2 linked regions of the Drosophila melanogaster genome follow. The protein of the gene in region 2 interacts with the protein of the main gene of each other region in a pairwise test. Each region holds a gene or a part of one and is shown on either strand. Other genes may lie near its edges. The genes, in order: CG6688 and CG13186.

Region 1 (11,860 bases), on a different chromosome or scaffold from region 2:
AAGTGGTCATTGGCTGGCTCCTGGCGTTCTGTTCGAGTGCGGATTTTAGTTGGATCTGAAATGAATTTTTTTTTGCTTTTGAGGTTAAAGGGCGGAATCTGTGCAGCTAGGCTAGGCGCCGGCGAACACGAGCGGATGGCAGCTAAATATTTACAAGCTCAACGAGAACACATCCGCAAACAAAAAGCGCAGACACGCAGACACAGGAAAACAGTGGAGTTTTGTGAAAATGGCCATCCTATGTACGCATACATACATATACATATGTATGGTGCACATAACCACATGGTGGCGGAGTAATTGTTATGCCAAAGTCCCGCTCACAATTTATTTTTGTTAATCAGCAAACGCCCATTTCAGGCGACCACGCCCACTCGCCCACCGCCCAACGCGCAGCACGCGTGGCAAGCGGCAACAATTCGACAATTATGTGGCATTTCCACTGCTGCCCCTTGCTGTTCGTTTTTATTTTAATTAAAAAGTCAACCGCCAGGATGCAAAAAGCGAACAGGTTCGCGGATTCCCACACCTGCAGGCCAAGCCAAAAACAAAAACCAAAAAAAAAAAAAGTATAAGCCACCCATTCCATGTGTTAGAATTTTTGATATTTATGGGCAGTGGCCACTGGTCGGTGCAAAGTTACACCCCGATAAGCATCTGCACCACCCGGCGGCACCAAGGGGCACCAAGAGGAGTCGGAAGGCGCCCCAAAAACCACCGCCCACTGCTGCTGTTGTGGCTGAGATTTTGCAGATTTTCGGTGCGTTGCGACGGTTTGGTTCGCAATTATGCAAATCGAAAGATCGCCACACAGCGATATCCTAAAATTCCATGCATTTACAATTTTCTAATCAATGGAATTATAATTTTAATTTCCAAGGCTACCCGCCGTGGGCGATGTATCTTTTTTTTTTTTTTTTTTGTTCGTTATTATTATTTGCCACGCAAATTGTTTCAATTGCTGCCTTTCGGGGTCTGGGTTTTTCGATTTAAGAGAGCCGAACCGGATGTTTCAATTAATTCAATCGCAGTGTGAAATGTGTCATTCACATGTCGCCCATTGAGTCGCTTTGTTGCCTATTTACAGGCGCCGTGAATGCGAATGTGAATGCAATTCATATTCATATTCATTTTAATTTAATCAGGCTCTTGCGACGTCGCTCAACCGTAATTAAGTTTCTTGTGCCGGGGCCAGAAGCTTCGCCAGCGTGTGAAAAATAAAAAATATGCCACATTAATACGGGCGAAAAATTGAATAAATCAAATAGATACGCGAACCATACTTTACAGTGGCCCCGAAACGGCGACTAATGCAATAAAAGATGGCCGCAGCACGTTTTTTAATATTTAATTAAATAAATAATTCCCATTTGCCGTTTGCCAGTTGCCGTTTCAAATATTCGAACGCACGAATTTAAATATGGAAATACTTTGCACGCAGCCGCTTGCATTTCCCATTTACCATTTACCATTTTGCATTTCGTTGCATTTCCGGTGGGCGACTCGTCAAACTTTTCTGCCCGAGATGCACGCACACACACACACACGCATGCGAGGCTCTTTTGGCCAAAAAGTTTTCCCTCGGAGTAATTAGAAGACTTAGTCCCCTGCCAGGCGGTCTTTGGCTGACTGCTTAAAATGCTCTTTTGGCGTTAAATTTATGACAACCGCACATGTTGTTTGCCAGCTAGAAACAATAACAATAACAGCCCGCCCAGAGGCGTGCAACAGCAAAGGCCAAAGGGGTAGGGGGTGGCAAATAGGGTCTAAAGGGAACGGGCGGGGCAGATCGCTGAGGGGAACGGGGCAGAATGCTCGTTAGAAAGTTTCTAAGGTTGCGGCCGCACACGAAACAGCTGCGCCGCCAAAAGGGAAGAAGGATTCTCCAAATTGTTGCACGCTTTCCTTTGCTTTGGGGCGGTCACATTGTTGCTAAGCTATATACACACTTTCTACCGTCGGTCTCTGTTGCCGGCTGATAAGCTACACTGGGCGAAAATGAGCACATCTTGTGCAGGGTGATAGTTTTGAGCCTTACCTAAATATCGTAACATCTACAAGTCCTGCGCTCTATAAATCCTGATAATTAAGTTAATTGAAGTTTTCTTTTTTTCAAGTGCACTTTGAATACCCATACTCATACGCCGTGTGGTGCACTGACGTGACCTCCACTTGTGCGGCAAGTGCTCGAGTGGGCGTGGCAGCGAAATTTGCGCTTCAAAGTGAATTTATTGTTTTTACCATTACCACTTAGCCGGGCCCGAAACTTGCCCAAAGAGCCGTTTATTTTGATGCAGAACCAGAACTTAAACAGCCAAGGATGCAAATTGAAAGGCGATGGAGAAGCGATGCTTTAAGAGCTGAAACCCTGTGTTTACCCAAGGTAAATTGCACTCGATAATGAGTGCTTCACATTAATTAAATAACCAATAGATCGGTCTGGGTTTCCCATTGCAAATTATGCCGGGAGGGTGGGAAAATGGGGTGGGGAAATGGGTAGTGGGGGACAAATTGGAAGGACAAGCGCACTTGTCGCGGTTTTCGCAGCGATTTCTTTTACCCGCGACAGCGAAATTAATTGCATTGCTGCGCTGCGAGATTCACGTGGAGGAGCACTTGTTACGGTTGCCATTAGCGGTGCCATCATCATCGACCCTCGAAATCGCTGTAATTTCCAATAGATAATGAAATGCAATTAGAAAATGTGAGGGGTCTGAGCCTGTGGGCCACAAGACTGGCGGCAGAATGCAACAATAACAGCAATTTAAACAGGTTTTCCACGGGCGGACGCGCATCAGAGTGCATAATGGCGCATAGAAGTTTGTAATTAAAGTTTGCCGACTCTGCCAGGTGGCGACACCACGGGATACGGCCGTTTATTCCGGTCATTCCTACTAATCCGCACCCACAATACTGCACCGCCATCAGAAGTGGCAGCATCAGCAGGAGCAGCAGCAAATCAATTTCTGCATTGCACTAGCTGGACTGGACGCGGATCTGGACTACCGTCTATGGTCTCCGGCTTGGACTTGGTCGGCGCCCTGGCTTTTGTTCGGCACATCAACAAAGCAGAAAATAAAATTCAATTAACGCGCTTAAATTAAACTGCCACTTCCTGTTTTGATGACATTTTCATGGCAGCCTCGCTCCGGCGAAGAAGCAGCGGGAGGCCATTCTGCAGCGATAGGAAGAATGCGGTTTGGAGTAACTGAAGCCTGTTGCTGGCGTTGCTCGCTCCTCCATTGATGCGGTTCGTCCGGCATCAATATTAAATGGTAAACGGCCGGCATAATGGCTGTCCAACTGCGGCTGTCATTATGGGGCCATCAGGAACCACCAGGACCAAGAAACCAGGGACTGGACAGGTTCCATGCCTGCTCCCGATGACAAATAAAGCTCATTACGCGCTTGTCCGGCATCCTTCACTTTGCCACTGATTGACCTGCATCTGCGCGTGGCGTCGCCGTCAGCAGTCATAAGTTGCACTGCACTGCGAGAAATGTTTGTACTTTGTGCCCTTGAGTATGCAGTGGGAAAAGGATTTTAGAATGAACAAGTACTCAAATAATGTTGCATATTCTATTGATCATTTGCACAAAGTCCAATTGACTTAAAATATTTTTATTCCTCTTGCGACGCTCCCTGAATGCAGTCCATCCGGACTTCATTATCGAGCTGACCAACTCGGACGCCAAATGACACAAAGTCATTGGAGCGTTCAGGAGTGATTCAATTAGAACTCAACTTGGCCAAGTTGAACTCTTCGCTGCAGTTAGCTGGACCAACTTCTTTGCATCTCCAGCGTGGGCCTTTGTCCCGGCCTGACACCCATACAATTCCTTTGGCCGGGTTCGTTTCTTTGCGCGATAAGCAACTTTGGCCAAGCAACTGGCATTTAATTTAATTAGAAAGGAAAACAGCAAGAGGGGCGGGGGGCGAATTGGGGACGCGCCTGATAAGAGGATGCTGTTGATTGAGATGCCCGAGCTCAAAGCAGACGGAAAGCGGATTTGTAGCAGCAGTTCTGGTGGAGGTCCTTTGCAGGATCCTGTGGATCCTGCAGCTTGCAGGGACAGCGGTACAACAGCGAGGCCGGCTTAGTTTGGACAACCTGCTGGGGCAAATCTTGGCTTGGAGTGACAGGAGGTATGCGAACGGGTTGCAATCCGGAAGATTCATTGATGCCCGGGCTAACGGAGGCTGGTAGCGGAGGGCCATGCAAGGATGTGGCAGAGATGTGGCTGCTGTTCGTTCCGGATTCCTCGTCAACGCCCTCGGCATTCGGCTTAACTCCTTCCTGCTGTAAATCATTCGTCGAGAGTGAAGGATGCGCCGCATTCGCGTCAAGCGTGGCATGCATTGTTGTCCTTTCGGGGGGCGTGGCTGTCACTGGCGATGTTCTGGCCGGGATTTCACTGGAGTCGCCAGCGACGTCCGTGGTATTAGTCCGCAGCAGAGTAGCGGCATTCGAGGGACTGAGGTTATCCGTCGAGTAGGCGCAGCCCTCAAGCAACTTGGTTAGGAACTTGTTCGTTGGCAGCACTGGCCTGCGCTTTCGCCAGGTGTCCTGTCCGGTTATCCTGTCCTGTCGGCCCACGACTGGCCGTGTTATCCCGGCAAAGAGCTTCTGCCGCAGCTTGTTCTCCGAGCGGCACATCTCGAAGGCGTTGGCAATGGTCAGGAAAATTTGCTCCGCCAACAGCGCTCGGCGGGGAGTGTAGAAGTCCCGGCAGACAGGACATCGCTCCGAGCGGATGCGACAGTCCACGCAGAGCAGGTGTCCGTTTTGGCACTGCATCGCCGGCGGTGAGATGGTCACCCCGCAGACAGGACACTCGACGAGGCGCAGGATGCTCTCCAGGACGAGGGACAGGCGGCGCAAACTGGTGGGCATGGGGGCGCAGCAGATGCTCTATGGATTTTTGAAAAAAATATTGTGTTAGCGCGATTTTAATGGGGAACGGATAACTGAGTGTGTTTGATGGTTTAAAGAAGGATTTCAGGACTGCAATGAAAATACTCACATTAGTATCACAGTCCTTATCACATTCACTGTTCCAACAGAGAATTGTGACGCAGTCCTTTTGACTCTTCACCATTTTGGCGATTTCAGACACTCTCAAGCCTAAAACATCGTTGCCATTTACCTGGAAATAAAATATTATAGAATTTTATAGAAAATGTCTGGAAATGTTGTTTATTTATTTTAGGAAATAAGTGCCATACAGAAAGCAAGTACCAAGTATCTAAATATTTGGATTTCCACGAGCTACCAAAGAAAACAAATGAATACCACAAAATATGGCCAACACAATTACAAATTCGAAAGCACTGCTTGCGGCTGTATCGCACGCACTGCTTGCGGATGTTAACCTTAGCTAGCACTGTTAACTCAATTGGCTGTTATCTGTTATCTGATAACTGATATTTGCTTTGAATATTTACTTCGTGCTAATTAATCTTTGTCATCAACTAGTTGTTTTACTACGTTCGAGTTGTGTCATTAGTTTTAGGGCGGGCTGTGCATTCACCAGCTGTTTCTAGTTCCCCACTCCACATCCAATAAAGTTTCTAAATAAAGTCGATGCCGAGCAATTAAGTTTTACTGCATTGCTATTTTAAGTAAACAATATCCACGAAGAACAACAAATGCGGCTACAATAGCGGCTGCAAAGTCCAGACTTGGATATATGTACGGTCCAACTTCCATAGCTCAAGCTATTCGTAATTTAAAAGACCATAGCGATTTGAATTTGTTTCTAGAAGTGCAAATCATCATATTGGAATGCTTTCCTGAATAGTACTTTTTATCTTAACTTACGATTCACACAAATTTGTAGAACTTATTGACTTGAAAACTCGCAAGTATACATAATTAGCTTTACAACAAAAACTACATTATTTTTCTAGCTGTTAGCTAACAAAAGGAACTTTTTTCTGATTATAAATATATTATAATTTTAATGGGTTCCTCAAACTCTGTTTTCTTCTATCCTAAGTGGAATGCACATAGTTGGGAACCTGAGTAGCAGTCTCAATAAGCTCTTAATAGGTTTACAAAGTAAATCCCCGCGTCGATCTATTGCATTCTTAATTTTGTAACTGGAGTTCAGGCGCAGATTGAGTTACCAATGCAGTTTAGTTACCAATGCAGTTGGTCTGCGCTGTGCATAATCCGCCAGTCCATTGCTGGCTGAGAGCTGAAAGAACTGACAACGGTGGCACCAACCTGTGGCACTAACTTCTACTCACCTCCAGAACGCAATCGCCGGGTTTCAGGCCGCAGAGAGCGGCAGGTGTGCCGGCTGCCACTTCGCAAACCTGTCGGTGTAATGGGTATATGGTAATTAGGAGGGGACGGGATCTCCAAACGATGGCCACTTTTATTACCCAGGGATAGGGATCCCATTTGCTGCGGGTCAGCTGAAATCCGTAGTTCTCCATCGCAGGTGCGGCTCTGGGAATTCTCAGTAGTCGCACGGAGGAGCCATCGCCATGCTGCCCATCTTCATTGGATGTGGAATGAAATCCTCCCGCTGATTTCCTCATTTTCGGGCTAGAAAACTCGCACAGGTGCTCGGATCGTTGTGGGCCAAAATAAAAAGCGGCTAGCGAGAGACGTGTTCAACGTGCGCTCTCAGTTGGCAAACTGTTTTTCGTCTGTCTGTTGATTTTTTTTCGAGCCAGCTGGCTGGCTGGTGTATGTGGCTGGCTGGCTGGCTGGCTGGCTGAAAAGTTGCCGAGCGGCGAGCAGTGAACATGGAGCGCTTTGGGCCGACGCAATCGGCTACGACAAACATTTTGGCCAAGCTCCCCAGCATCACACATTTAACCCCTTCCACAACTTAATGACTTTGGGCCATCTGACGCGGTGTTGTAAGTGCTCGGCGCCAAAATGTGGCTGCGGTTCAAGATCCGAGATTCGGAATTCGAGATCGGAGATCTGAGATCTGAGTTCCGAGATCCAAAGCTGACACCCAGCTGAGATCATGGAAATGAGACTTGTGGAGCTAAGTAAATATTTGAACTTTCGGGCTGGCAGCGGTTTTTGGGTGCGCTATAAAGTTGCATGTCTACGTATTGTGACACCTTCAAATATACCGAATAAATAAACAAATTCTTCAGCGATTAAGTCATTTGATAACCTGGTAAATTAGTTGGTTCGAATGTGCAGGCTGCTACAATTGTGCGGAAGTGAAATCGAGAACATGGCCAAATACAATAGTTTTCATAGAAACCTTCGGCTATTTCTCTTCGCTTTTCATGGAAACCTTCTGCTATTTCTCTTAAATTGAAAACAATAAAGCTGCGCTTATCACTTATACCATGTTTTGTTACTAGAGATTAAAACTATTAAGGTAAATATAGCAAAACAGCCCAAACAAATATAAATAGCCAAAATAAACTGAACAAGACCTGCAAATTAAGTGTTAAATTGTATATTTATACAGTTTGGTTACGGTTTTGGCACAAATCGTAATCAGATAAAATCGCTATTAGCAGTAATGCACACGAAACTTAATCAGTTTAATTCCCATTTGTTGACTTTAAAAGTTTTCCGACTTTGTAATTAAATTTGAAAATAAACAGCACTATTTTTCGGCTTAATTGCGTGTTGGCAGTGTCAAATGGCCAGTGCATTTGCGATTGAGTGGCCAGCAAGTAAACCAAAATATTATTATTCGAAATGCCAAAAGAAATTAAAACAACAACGACGAGTGTGTTGGCACCGCACTAGGGTGTCAAACGGCGATAAACATAAACAATGGGGCCCTAAATAAATAATTGGGTCTAAAACCGGCTCGTCGATTAACCCTAACAATGATAACTGATGGAAATTGGCAGCTGACAAATGGATTTGGTTTGGCATGGCCAAACCATCGACATCCATTTGACTTTCGCTTTTTTGTTGTTTTGTTATCGCCGGTTTAACTGCCATTGAGGCGGTAATTTGAGTTTGGCGCTGCTCTGGTCGTCTAAAACATTGGCCAAATAGCATTGAAATTGGTAATTTCATTTAAATTTGCGCCCAGCAAAACTGACCCTGGGCGGCATTGTGGTGCGTGGTGTGTGTGTGTGTAATTTGTTTTTGGCTTTTCAATTTGCCAGTTCAATTAGATTTGGCCAAATTTATGTGGCACGCAGAAGCGTTCGGCAGCCAAAAGCCGTCAGCAGTGTCAAAATTAGAGAATACTTACCCAGGCAATAACATCGAAATTCATGTTTCTCGGAAAGCCATCCACCTGAAAGGTAATTGACTTTTATTAATCGGCCAGCAATTAGGCCGGGCCCAAAGGCAAATGGCCAAATTCAAGTGCAATTCCGCCTCTTCACACTATTGGCTCTCGACTTGTTTGTGGCCAGTAGATGCGGTTTCCAAAAAACAAAATAAAACGATGAAAAGCTCGCTGAAGCCAAGTGCAAAGCTCTGCCCACAGGTGGCGCTCGCTTTAAGCCAAGTTAGTAGGTCTGCTGGTCAGCTGTGAAGAAGTCGAGCCTCAGTTTCTTCGCAACTCGCATTCGGTTAAGTGAGCATGCGCCGCAAGTTCCGCTGGAAAACGCGAAGTGCGAAGCGCCGGCGCCGAAATAAAGTGATTACGATACGATCACAAAGATATCGAAAATCATCTAGCGTGGCCGAGAGTTGTGAAAATTGATTAACCAGCTGGCTAACAGAAACGGTGGAAAAAAAAACGGTGTGTAATTGCTAACAAAGCATGGAAGGGCTAATGGCCCAAATGACCTTACGCTCACCGCACCAACTTCCAAGCCAAGTTAGTAAGCGTTGGCTTAGGTCAAGGTCCGGCTAAGAGCCCAGATGCCCAACACTAAAAGCGAGAATAAAAACGCGGAAGTGTAACGCACAATTATAAACGCATTTGCTGGATACTCGCATAATTAAAAGCGGCAAACAAGTTTGCTTCCATTTCCTTCTACCTCCAAAGCAAACAAACGGGTCTAAATTGAATTAGAAACAGCGCATAAATCATATATGTACGTACTCGTACGCAATGCTTGCGCAAACACTGTGCGAAAAAAGGGGGGGGGTTCAAAAAGAAGAGACTACAATCACGTTCAAATCGAAATTTACACGGCAGTCGCACAGTTCGCTAATTGTAGAGCTGCTGCAGCGCCAATGGCGCATGCGCAACGTTTTTTTTTTTAGCCCGCTTTGGGGTTTCTGGGTCTCTGTCTCTGGGGCTTTTTTATTTATGTGTTTATTTCGTTTTTTTTTCGCTTGCGGTTTCTTTCGTGTAATTGTGACGCAATTTTCGTGCGAGTTTGTTTTAGTCTCGCCTCGCCAGTTTTGCCACTGACTCAATATACACTGAAAACGAAAGCGGCCACCACCAAGACGTGTGACTCAAGTCGAGCTGCAACTTGTGTGCTATGTGCACTGCACCGCCTTCGGCCGATTCAGTTGCAATTCACACGCGTTTGAGCCAAGTTCGCTTCCTACTAAGCTAAAGATTCATAGCGTTAACTTTACGGTATAAACATGCCTGTGGGCAATTAAATTTGGACCTTAATTGGAGCGTTACCAGTGGCAGTCATCCTGCATTTTGGGGTTTGCGTAATTGTTTGCCAGCCAAGCGATGCGCTTCATTGGTTTAGTGCTTTTGAAGATTCTTTTTTATCTTTTTTTTGTGGGTGCAGCTTTAACTAATTCGTGCGGTTTGATAATTAAATCGAAATCTTGATTGCCCTTACAAGGGACAGCAGCACATCGTTGGCTGATGGCCAGCTTATTGTTCAATGATTACCTTAACTATTGCTGTGCCCACTTCAATAAGCCGACGTCATAGCGATTTCATGGCCAATGTCAGTAGAAGTGAAGTGAAGTGATTTGAACAAGTTTGCCATACTCGCACTCGAACTCATAGTCGTACTCAAACTCACATCTGTATCCGCGTGCGTAGACAGCCAAGGAGGAAGCTATAAATTCTCAGTCTACTCAATGTTCTCGAGTGCAAGAAACATAATCAATTTCGCAGTGAGAATCTTTTAAACTGACAGCCAAGCGAATCTGATGACTTCGATATCGATTTGTGACTAAGCTAAAGAATTCCAGTTGGTAGAACAGCTAATACCATACATATACAGTATATATGTACATATATATATATGAGTTCCGGCTTGGCTTTGTTGCTTAATTGATTTTCCTTGGTGCTAAAAAGTTTGAAAGAAACCCTTTCTATTTTGGTTTTTGTTTTTTATTTGACTGGGCTCCGCAAAACTTTTGATTTATGTGCGCAAATTTTACGCCTGGCGAACGTGGCGTATGCGTAATTACGACCACTTGGCACCGAAACTTTCTGGCTAATTAATTGGGTTTCGTCTCGAAGCTGCCGAAAGGTGAAGGAATCGCCCGTCGAAAGGTGCAAATGAGTCCAAGTGTTGGAACTAGAAATCAGAGGACTCCGGTCTCCGGCCTCCGGTTGCCCCAATCACACACACTCGGGGGCATAATAAATGCGAGTGTGTACGTGATGGGCATGTCAACTAGTGTTGGGGCATCTTGGCCCTCTGACAAACGAAGTAAAACAGTTTGGCAACATTTTTCAAAGCTCTCCTCGCCTAGGTGTTGTTTATATATGTATGTGTTGTTAGCCCAGGTAATTAGATGAGCGCGGCGAGGGAGTGTGAGTGTGTGCGTCTCCGGTGTTGAAAATTGGCCAAATTTATGAGCGACCTTGTGGCTTGAGTGTCTGTTTTGATTTGAACCCACTTTCTGTTACAGCCAATATGCTTCAGTTGTGCACCATCTACGCCTGCGCGAACGGCACATTGGGACTGAATTTGAGCCGTGCCCCCTGGGATCCGTATCCTTGGGTTAGCGGGGTGCAGGCCAAGTCGAGTGCGGAAAGGGGCGGAGTTCGTTTGGGCGACACCCTGCTGGAGCTGAATGGAGCCGATGTCCTGGGGCTAAAAATCAGTGAGTTGGCCAATCGGTTGCAGGATCACTGGCAGAGCGGCGCCGAGGTCGTGACCCTGATGATGTGGCGCCAGCAGGCGAACATCGACCCCAATGAGGATCCTGCCGAGGCATCACATGCTGTGGTAAGTAGTCGCCACTTGTGCTCCATATTGTTGGCCTAATTGGGCCAAGATGAGCGGAGGAGTGTGTTGCTTATATGGGCCATTGTCTTGCATCAGTGCGCCGCTGAGCGTTACGTAATTCTGATTGGCTTAATGACTGCTACTGCTACTGCTAATTAGTAATTAGTATCTGCAGCTTGGTCCGCTTGCTTTGTGGGCCTACTGCAGTTTGGCGGGCGAAATAATAGAGCCCCATTCCAAGGTTACTGTGCACAGAGAAAAAACTGCAGACTAGCCTGCAACTAATAGTTCTGGCATAGCCACACGTAATTGTAATTGACTGGTCATCAAATGATACTAACTTAAGCTTAATTTCGTAAAGGGAAGCTTAGTTGCGTTAAGATGAGCCTTTACATAAGCTAAATCTAATTAATAAGTTTGTTTTTCTGTATTTCAAAGTGATTCGGTTCTCGAGGGTCATCTTGTGCAGCATTCATTGTTTTAAAATCAATTCAAATATTGCATTGTATGCACATCGCTGGCATTCACATAATGATTGTCAATAACAATATCAAGCCTTAAAGCCACACCGCAGGACCTTCGATTTATCAAAAGTTTCTCAATTAAAAAGTCAACGAATGACCTAGTCTTTTATTTGAAGCTCGAATGTATAGGTAAACTGGAAGCCCGAGGTAATCCTTGAGGTGTTCAGCCGTGCGGATGTCCTGGCGGCATCGGTGTAGTTGTAAATTGTTTATCTGCCAACCGAGAAGCTGTTTACTTTATTAAATGCAATTGAATCGAAATAACGCAATTTCGT
Region 2 (9,568 bases):
CCAGGCAAGAACTACCAGCTATATACATACATAGATGTGTACATGTACATCTGTGTGTTTATGGTTATAAATGATACCTACTTCAGTTTGCCTACGATTCTATAAATACACACATACACATACATATAGAGGTACATAGCAGCAGATATATATATATATATGTATCTCCAGCTGGTGAACCAAAAACTGGATTCGAGTTCAAGCAAAAAACGCCCTAAAACAAATAGAAACCGAACGAAACAAAAAAAAAACGATACCATTATTATTATTGAAATTTAATTATATGCGTTTGCGGCATAAGGAACAAATGTATTACCAACAAAATCTCTATATATACACAACAAACTAATTTATGAGATTATATATATACATATGACAGCAACAGAAGTATATGTAAAAATTAAATAAAAACGAAGCCTCAGTCAGTATAAAAAGTTCCATGTATTATTTGCACTCATTCGGAATTGGATGACCAATTGTGGCATTGGGAAAAACAATTTTATATCCAACATCAGGTGTATTCGCTTTGTGCATTTCGCATAATAATTTCATCTTACAGCAATTACGGATTCCTTGGCTATCATTATTTATAGAATGGGAAGTTTTCATGGCCAGCCTCTTGATTGCCCCAGCGAAATTTATTTGTACTTTTTTTTAATGGGCTTTCGTGGTCTTAATTAGCCCATTTGGATTTAATAAACAATTAAGTAGTCACATTGAATGTGCTTTTGGCTATGAAATTCTTATTATGCCAATTCAATTTAATTTACTACAAACTTAAAGGTCGAAATTCGCAGGACGCGTTTAAACAGTGTAAAATAATATTATTGTGGTGTGTCCTAGCTTTTTGATCCTCTGATTAAGCTTTCTAATGCCAGTTTAAGCCAGCGTAAACTTTTGGGAGTTTTGCGCAAATATTTTGCAGGTAAAGCGGGTGTCGTAAATTTTAATTAGCGTTAGCCGAAAACTAATTTCATGTTAATAACACAACAGCAACATTGTGGGCGGCCCCAAGGTCGTGGGCGTTCGAATTTGGTTGGTGGGCCGGATGGCCGGGATACGAATGCATCCGGGAGTTGGGAGCGCGGAACCCTATTTTGTGGCTGCCAATTTACGCTTAATTAGATGGTTGCTCGTCTCCATTCGGCCTCAAGGAATTATCATCATCTTCGGGGCCAGAAAGTGGGGAAGAACCGAACCTTTTATGGCCGCCACGCATGGAAATAAAATGCTGTTTGCCGGCGAAATAGGTTAAAGGTCAGGAGGGCAAAAAGGGGGCAAAGAGAAAAAAACATGATGTTGCCTGACCTTTCCTCCCATCCGCAGCTGCTTAATTAAGGTGTGACAAATGCAATCTGCAGGCCAGTTAGGCGTGCAATCAGCCAAAGGCCAATCCAGCTGGCGCATTAAAAGGGGATTTTACCCGGTTAACACACACACACACACTCAAACACACCATCTACCATCACACACACACACACGACCTTCGACTAGGCGCGATAAAACAAATGCAAAAGCCTAAAATGGCAGCATCTGGCATTTGCCATTTGCCCCATTCGCCTTCGCATCGCTGCTAAATAAATGGCCCTTAGATCCAGCTGCAATTTGTTGCAGCAAAGGGTAAGGGATATGCGATATGCGATATGGGATATGGGACATGGGATAGGTCACATGGGTTATGTGATATTGGATATAAAGATCAATAGATGGGATAACTGAAACGTGTCCGGAAATCGAAGGAGCTGTATGCCTCATCCAGCTGATTGCATTTCAAAAATAACACACAACACATTTCGGTTTGTTTGTGCCATTTCGCTGGCATTCGCCTGCGTGGATTATTTTTACATCAGGCCGTCAGTGGCTTGCATTGCCAAACTGCTTTTGGCCAACGGGCCAACGGGCCAACACCCACTTTTTGGCCGGGAATCGCACAATATCGCACACTCTAATGCAAAATGTTGCGGTCTGTTTGCATTAAAGCTCCCTTCGCACTGTGCCTTTTGGCAATCGTCCTGGCTTGTCCTTGGCGTGTGGTTTCCCCTTCGATATCCCGGTGACAGCTGACACATGCATCCACTTCCACCTCGAGCGAAGGAGGCTGCATGGTCCATGGCCGTTCTCTGGACTGGACATTAACCCATTTCTCCCCGAATAAGTCGTGACACGAAATACGAAGAACGAAAAACGCCTCGCTGACATTTCTTTGTGCCGGTCGCATAAAATCTGTTGAAATCATCGGAATGTCGCGGCAACATTTTCGTTTTCATTTTTATCTTTTTTACTTTTTGGTTATTTCTGGCTGCTGCCTCTGCCCGCCATTTTTTACAGCCATTATATTAATATTAATGACCTGCGCCACGAATGTTGCTAAATATTTTTGAAAGTCGCCTTTGTCTGCCGGTCAAGCGCTAAAAAACGCTCTGTAGTTTCTGGGCGAACATGACGTATGCGTGATATTCAAATTAGTCTTTGCACTGCGTTAGAATCGTGGCTGAAAGTCAGCCACCATAACCAGTCAATCAAAAAACCATCTGTAACCCAGACTAATTTGCATTTGCATCCGGACTCCGGAGCTGTGAAGCTCTGGAGCTCTGGAGCTCCGAACTGTGGAGCTGGGAAAACTCTGGTGAGAATCCACAGAGCCATAGTTTCGCATTTGCACACACGTAATCATCGAAAGGCAACCAAATCCTCTTGTTTTTCCACTGCAACTTTTCACGCTGCCTTTGTACTTTTAATGTTGGCAGAGTATTAGTATTAGTCCCAAGGGCCAAGCATGGAAGCACCCCTCTGGATTCCTGGTATTTGTTATTGTCATCGCTGTTGTTGGCCCACAATGTAATTTGGTTTGGACTTTCACGACTTGTTGGCTTCTTCCCCCTAGCCAGTTTGCAGTGGCAAATTTTCTGTTGCCCTCGGTCGATGGTTTTTCGGTTTACCAATTTATTTATTTCCAGCCACTTTCCTAGCTAGCTAGCTGCCCATTGTGTTGCTGGCACATTGCAATTTTCAAATACATCCGCAATGGATTTGGATGTGGATGTGTTTTCTGCTGCTCTTTTTGGAAATGTTACTCTAGGACTAGGGTTTGGATTAAAATCCAAAGGCGAACAGCAAATGAAAATACCATTTCTTGCACTTTATTTATGTAAAGCAACTAGGGCGTCATGCTGATTTGAAGGCAACATATAGATTGCACATTTATTGTATGCAAATGCAAGCTAAAAGCTTATAGGAAATTGATTTGCTCGTATAGTTTTCACTTTATAGTTTTAAGAGCATTTAAAAGCCGGCTAGCATGTGAGTGCCCTTTGTCTATTGTTTCAAATTCAGCTTTCAATTTAAATTGTTTGGATTACTCGTCCTCTATTGTGTACATTGAAAATGTATTTCGGGGTATTTGTTGTGTCAACACCAAGTGAACGAGATAGTAGCACCCACTACCAACTACACACCACATGTCCCGATTTAGTTGCCCTGATTTCTCAGCCAGACAATAGGACGCGTCGCTAATGTCCCCGTGCAGTAATAATAATATATATATACACATATATATCGTGTGGCTGCTAATGTGGCAGCATTGTATTGGGTTAATTATTCTGGTCGATTTAAGCATTTAACTTTTGAAAGGAGCTGTCAAAGTGTGATGTCAGTACGTCAGTCAACAATACCAGCAATATTACACACACAAAAGCCAAAGAAGAATCGCACTAATCGCCGAGCATTTTGTCCGCGTGGGTGGATGACGTCTTAAAGTTGCTCCAACAGGTCTCTGGCTGATTGTTTACTTTTCACGCCATGTATTAGCCATTGTTATGGTAAAGACTTTATAATAATTCAGACAACAAAGTGCGGCAAATGTTTACATGTCCTCTTTCTCCTCATCCCCGTCGTCAGCGTCCACGCCCACCGCCTTGTCGGGATAGAATTTCTTGAGTATCCTGTTCACATCGGGCACCAGTGCCTCGTAGTCCAGTGGGAACTTATCCCGACGCGGCGGTCCCTTCTCCAAGCCGGACCACAGCAGATGCTCCGAGGTGCGTGCATTTTGCGAGAACCCTATCTCGAAGGCTCCTTCCCGCGGAACCTGGCGTCCGTTTCGATTCTTCACCAGCTGGAACTTGCGCTCCGGTATCCGTTGCGTGAAGAATGTTCCGCACTCGTCGGCCTTGGTCTGGAAAATGGGACACTCGTACGTGTGCTCGATGTAGATCATGGAACGATCCTTGGAGAAATGCTCATCGGAGGACCAGTCCACGTCCTTTTTCTTTTTTGCCGGCTTCTTTGGTGGCATTGTGGTTTTTTTTTTAGATTACTTTCACAATTTCGAAGTGATTTTGTTAATAACCAAAACCCATTTTTATTTCGAATGTTGACAATCCTAGAATTCATAATTGCTTTGATTGATTGCTTTTTGGTTCACTTATGATTCTCTGGTACAAAAGTACTGTGAACCATAAATCTTCTTTCGTACATTTCAAAGTGCGCAACGATGTCCAGAATATTTTTGCTGCGCCTATTTTTAAAATGCATGACAATCCGAAAGAGTCAACAACTTTTGGTGGCACGCATACGAAAAGAATCGCTGTTCGTTTGTTAATTTGGCTACATTGACTGACAACGCAGCCGCCTTTGAAAAAATTACAAAAAACGATATTGTATAGATGCAGGGGAAAATGCTTCCATTGGCTGGGTAGCCACAATTTTGTTCATTATATATAGATTTTTGTTTTGTATATATGCAAAGCTCCAATATAGACGTCAATTTATGGCACTGTCTATATTCATGCAGAAAAGCTACTCAACAAATTCTATGCATAACAATAATATATTGTTGGACACAAAAACATGCATAAACAATGGGAGAAAACATAAAAATCGAGTATTTAAAGCAAGTAAATTATACGATGAGAGCATTTCGACGACTATCAGATATTCTTTACGGATTCCATTGAATGTAGGTTTATCACAAAATACGCTGATATTTATCATAAGCTGGAAGAAGATACCAATACCAAATCAATGGATTGTTTTCATAAAAAAATGAAGAATGAAATCGCAAACCCTATTATTTTCAAGTCTCTTAATAGTGTTTGAAGGACATCTAATTGAACTGATTTTAAGAGCAAACATAGTCTTCTTATATAATTTGTGCATTTTTAATTGGAATCATTTAAATTCTTATTTTGGAGCGTAAACATGATTGCAACACTCTTTTATTTGCTTGATTTTATTGGTTGCGGGATTGCGAGATTGCAAATGGTCATTTATTGCATTTTATTTCTCCATTTCTCGTGGCTGAAGCTGAATGATTTTTTACCTTCAGCTGCCCACACGTGGCCCGCATTTTCCTGATCCCCCCCAACCCCCTCTGACCCAGAGGGTCATGGTTTATTTATGCAATTTTCCAATTTTCCCAACATCGGCCCACAAATAAAACCGAAATGAAAGCATACAAAATGCAGCAAAGAGCTGGGAATTTAAAAAAATAAAAAACCAAAAATGTATATGAAAATGCAATTTGCAAATTAACAACAACGCAATTGTAAACAACAGTGACAATGACGTCACAGTGAAACATACAACAGAAATCTATTCGTTGTGGGGTTAAGAATGCAACTTTTGGCGTTTGCACACATACTAATTATGCGCATAAACTGTGTATTCAAAACTAGGGTCATTTTGAAGCAATATTCAAATGAGCCAAAAAGAATATTTCAACAAATGTATCTGCACACTCGGAGTTTTTTTTCTGCTGTTTTTCCGCTGTGGAAAAATAATCATCGATGCTGCGGCTTCAGTGGGGCAGCGCCAAGAGCAACAAATATTTAAATATATTTATTATTCTGAATAGGCGTGCCAGCGTGTGTATATGTATCCCACATACGCATGTCTGCACATACTTCAGATATATTTTTAAAAAATCAAAACGACAATTTGCTGCTTGCATCATTTTGAAATACAACAGAACTTGAACGTCGACGTCGACGTCGCCAGCGGCAGCGGCAGAGATCGTCGATCGGCGAGCGAAAATTTTCGGCAGCTGCAGGCAGCGCCACTCGATCGTACCGCTTAGTGCCACGCCGTGTCTCAGAGCGCCCAGGCCACGGGCCCCCAAACCGTACCGCTGCGGAAAATCGATCTTGAAAATATATACAATACAAAAAAAAATCTAAAACTCTAGCACCGGATATATTATAGTCTAAGACTACGAGAATTGCCCACTTCATTGGGAAAGTGCGTGAAAATCCGAACATTACCATCGACCATCTACACCATCATCAGCATCCGTCATGCAGGTCTTCGATAACAATATGGTAAGTGAAATCTAGCCTGCGGCAAAAAAGCCATTTGTGGCCATGTTTACGCAGGCCAAATTTATTGTCGCCACGTTTGTGTATACCTTATGGCACACTTAGCCCAGTTAGCTTAACCCAGAAATGCCAATACACAAACTCCAGTCTGGCATAACCACGCCCATTTTGGCCGCAGAAGAAAAGGATATCCTTTGGCGGCAACGAAGGAGCAGAAAGGCAGGAAGTCATGCGGTGTTCAGAACGGGCCGCCAAATTAATTACAAAAATTCACTTAATGGCCACGATCCAAGTGGGTCAACGTACGTGCGAGCCACTAGAAATTGAAAGATGCAAAATGCTAGATGCAAAATGCTAGATGTAAAATTTAAGTGTTCCGCCAGAGACTTGTCAAAATTCTACCGCCTGCCTGGGATTTTAAGTGCAACTTAAATGGATGTAGTAATGTTATAATGACTACATTATAATCAGATTTGCACAATAAAAGTCTTGACATTGAGGCAAACGATTATGAACATTCCACAAGGGATTGGATTTTTTCCAAACGAAATACACATCAAATACATTTTCATCATGAAAATACAGTGCGAGTATTTTTGCAATGCCAGAACTTTCCATTCCATTTGATTCGGCCGCATCATCTAAAAATAAATATCCATATCTTTATTAATAATAAAAATAAGCTTGGAGACATATACCGATTTCTTGGCAGCTGAGCGACCCCATTAAGTACATAAATCGTACATAAATACACATAAATATAGATATATCTGAACCGGCAGCAAGTGCATATATGTATATGTACATACATAGATCGGATCGAAATTGTCGCCCATATGTAGGCCACTTACAGAATGGCGGCATTAGTCACATATAATACTCACGTATCTGTGGCAAACTAAGTCCCAAAATTGGTGGCAAGGTCGCCGGATGACGAAAGCAATCCGAAATGACATGGTCGATTTCCTTTTAATATTCCAGACAGCACTAGGAGGTATAAATAGATCCGGCGATTTTACAAATCCGGCGAAGGAAAAATAGTCGAAGCAACCGAAATGGAATTGCTTTATTTTCAGGCCGAATAAATCAATTGGCTTCTGTATTTATGCAGATGCCACCATTTGATTATTTCGCACTGTCGTTGATTTATGGCCAATGGCCAAAAGGGGCTGCCAAGGGTGCCCTCTTGCCAGCCATTTTTCCCACACACACAACCGACCGATTTTCCAGTGGCTTTCCCACACTTTTTCGAGAGTATTGTGCACGTCATGTGTAATTGCTATACGTCAATGTCAATGTGTGGGTTAGCGTCTGATAAATGCAAGCATATGTATATGTTGGTGTAAGTGCTTGTGGTCGTTTCCGGATCCTGTGGCTGCAATTGGTTAGCTTTAATGAAATGCCCGATGATATATTGTTGGGCAAATATGTGCTCGACCATTTCATCAGCCATTGAATTCGAACATTGAGCAGAAGTATTATCGATTTCAACGAGCACCAAATCGGAAGTCCTGAGTCAATAAATTGTATGGATTGCAAATGGCAAAAGATTTTCATCAGCTTTTCTCGATTGGCGGGCAACAGATTGCCGCTCAGAGTTTTCCAGCGAATTCCCGACTAATCCAAATAAAACTTCACAGCTTCCCCGACAATTCCGGTAAACTCAGGACACCTGTCAAGCAGAAGAAAGCACTCAATGCAATTCTGGGAATATTTCCAATCGGATATCTTTGATTTTCCGCTATGGAAATAAAAACAATGAGTGCGTGCAATAATTTGCATATTCACCTTATTTATTGATCAAAACACAAACAAACGAGAGCTGCCACAATTGTTTAAATATTTCCCAAACAAACAAGGCGCAGCTATTTTGTCTGGCTATTTATAGAGCTGAAAACTGAAATGCTAAATGCGCTGCAATGAAATGAATAATTAAATTGGCATATATACCACCGTGATTAATATCTATCTATGTATCTATATATCTTTTATCCTTTAGCGCCGTGCCTCGCGACGCGCCTCCTTGCGACGAGGATCCATATCGGCACTGCCGCAGAAGTCGCACGAGATTCCCTGGGACATATTCGAGCGACTATTCATGCCCTTCCTGTTCTGCCAGGCGGCGGCCATTGTCACATCGCACCTGCTCCACGCCCTGGACATCTCGAGCATCTCGACCTTCGCCGTGTTCGTCTGGTTCGCTCTGGCCACCGTGGGAGCCGTGCTCTTCTATCACTTCGTCAAGGTAAGTCATCCCGCTTGGCAGACTTTCTAATCCTTAATTCTGGCGAAAACCGCATAAGGGATCGGAGTGTCTTGGGCTTGGGCCTGGGATTGGTATTGGACTTGGGGTTTTCGGTTTCGGTTTCAGCGCCACGGGCGTCCATAAGTTAGGGGCTCTGTCTGCCGGGAACGGTCTTTATTTTTCCCTTCCGTTTTGGCCGGGTACAAGTGCCAAGCCAAAACCACAAGTGACGACGGAGGGTCTCAAATACTAGGCAAAACAAATCAGTGGCACTAAAAATAGTCGTCGGGCCAGCAAAGAATCCATATACACAAGGCGGCGGAAGGAGAGGGTCCTGCGGCAGGCACGTCGTCAACTTATGCTTAACCAGGCCGAAGGGGAAGGAGGAGCTGGTGGAGCAGATGTAGCAGGAGGATGCACAGGAAACCCTTGACTATGGATTTGGCTTCGGATTTGCCTGCGTGTGGTATTTCAGGGCTTATACTGTGCCTGGCAGCCAGCCGGGAAATGAAAATGAAAACAAATAAATAAGCAGGCAGGCAGAGCAGAGCAGTCCTGGTGGGCAAACCCGAGCACAACTTGCTGAAAGAAAAGGGTTTGGTAATGAATATAAATTCGCAAGTAGGAAAAATGTGGAGTCGTGATTCACTTGAGACCAGCCGAAAATTGCTCCGAGTAGGAGCTATCTAGTAAATTGTTAGTCATTTCAATCTACTTTCGAACTTTCTTAGACTTTAAGGCTGCGGCAGACAGTCAATTATGTTAAAGGGCGTCTTTAAAGTAGTCAGTCGTTAAAATCATCAAAAGATACTTCAACCACTAACAAACAAAACACCTTAGTTAACTTAGATATTTATTAGAATAAACTATCAATTACTTAAGATAGTTAGGCATTTAGTGAACGCTCCTCGCAATCCCATTATTCAGGCGTATAATTTCCAGCTTTACAACCTATTCTTTGTGCATAACTTAATCCACCAAATGCCGAGTCATTGCCTTCCTCTAGTTT

What was found.
Region 1: the proteins of CG13186 (region 2) and CG6688 interact in a two-hybrid assay, tested with the Drosophila melanogaster proteins (one large-scale study listed by BioGRID).

What each region holds. Positions count from the first base shown.
Region 1 is NT_033777.3:23,007,203-23,019,062, reverse strand, and holds CG6688 (uncharacterized protein), read right to left. Parts: upstream 6,652-11,860; 5' UTR 6,550-6,651; coding exon 6,391-6,549; intron 6,322-6,390; coding exon 6,253-6,321; intron 5,148-6,252; coding exon 5,025-5,147; intron 4,913-5,024; coding exon 3,989-4,912; 3' UTR 3,588-3,988; downstream 1-3,587. Other genes in the region: CG34375 (uncharacterized protein), read left to right, coding at 10,747-11,061.
Region 2 is NT_033778.4:12,076,044-12,085,611, reverse strand, and holds CG13186 (uncharacterized protein), read right to left. Parts: upstream 4,337-9,568; 5' UTR 4,295-4,336; coding exon 3,863-4,294; 3' UTR 3,555-3,862; downstream 1-3,554. Other genes in the region: CG8888 (uncharacterized protein), read left to right, coding at 6,294-6,317, 8,314-8,559.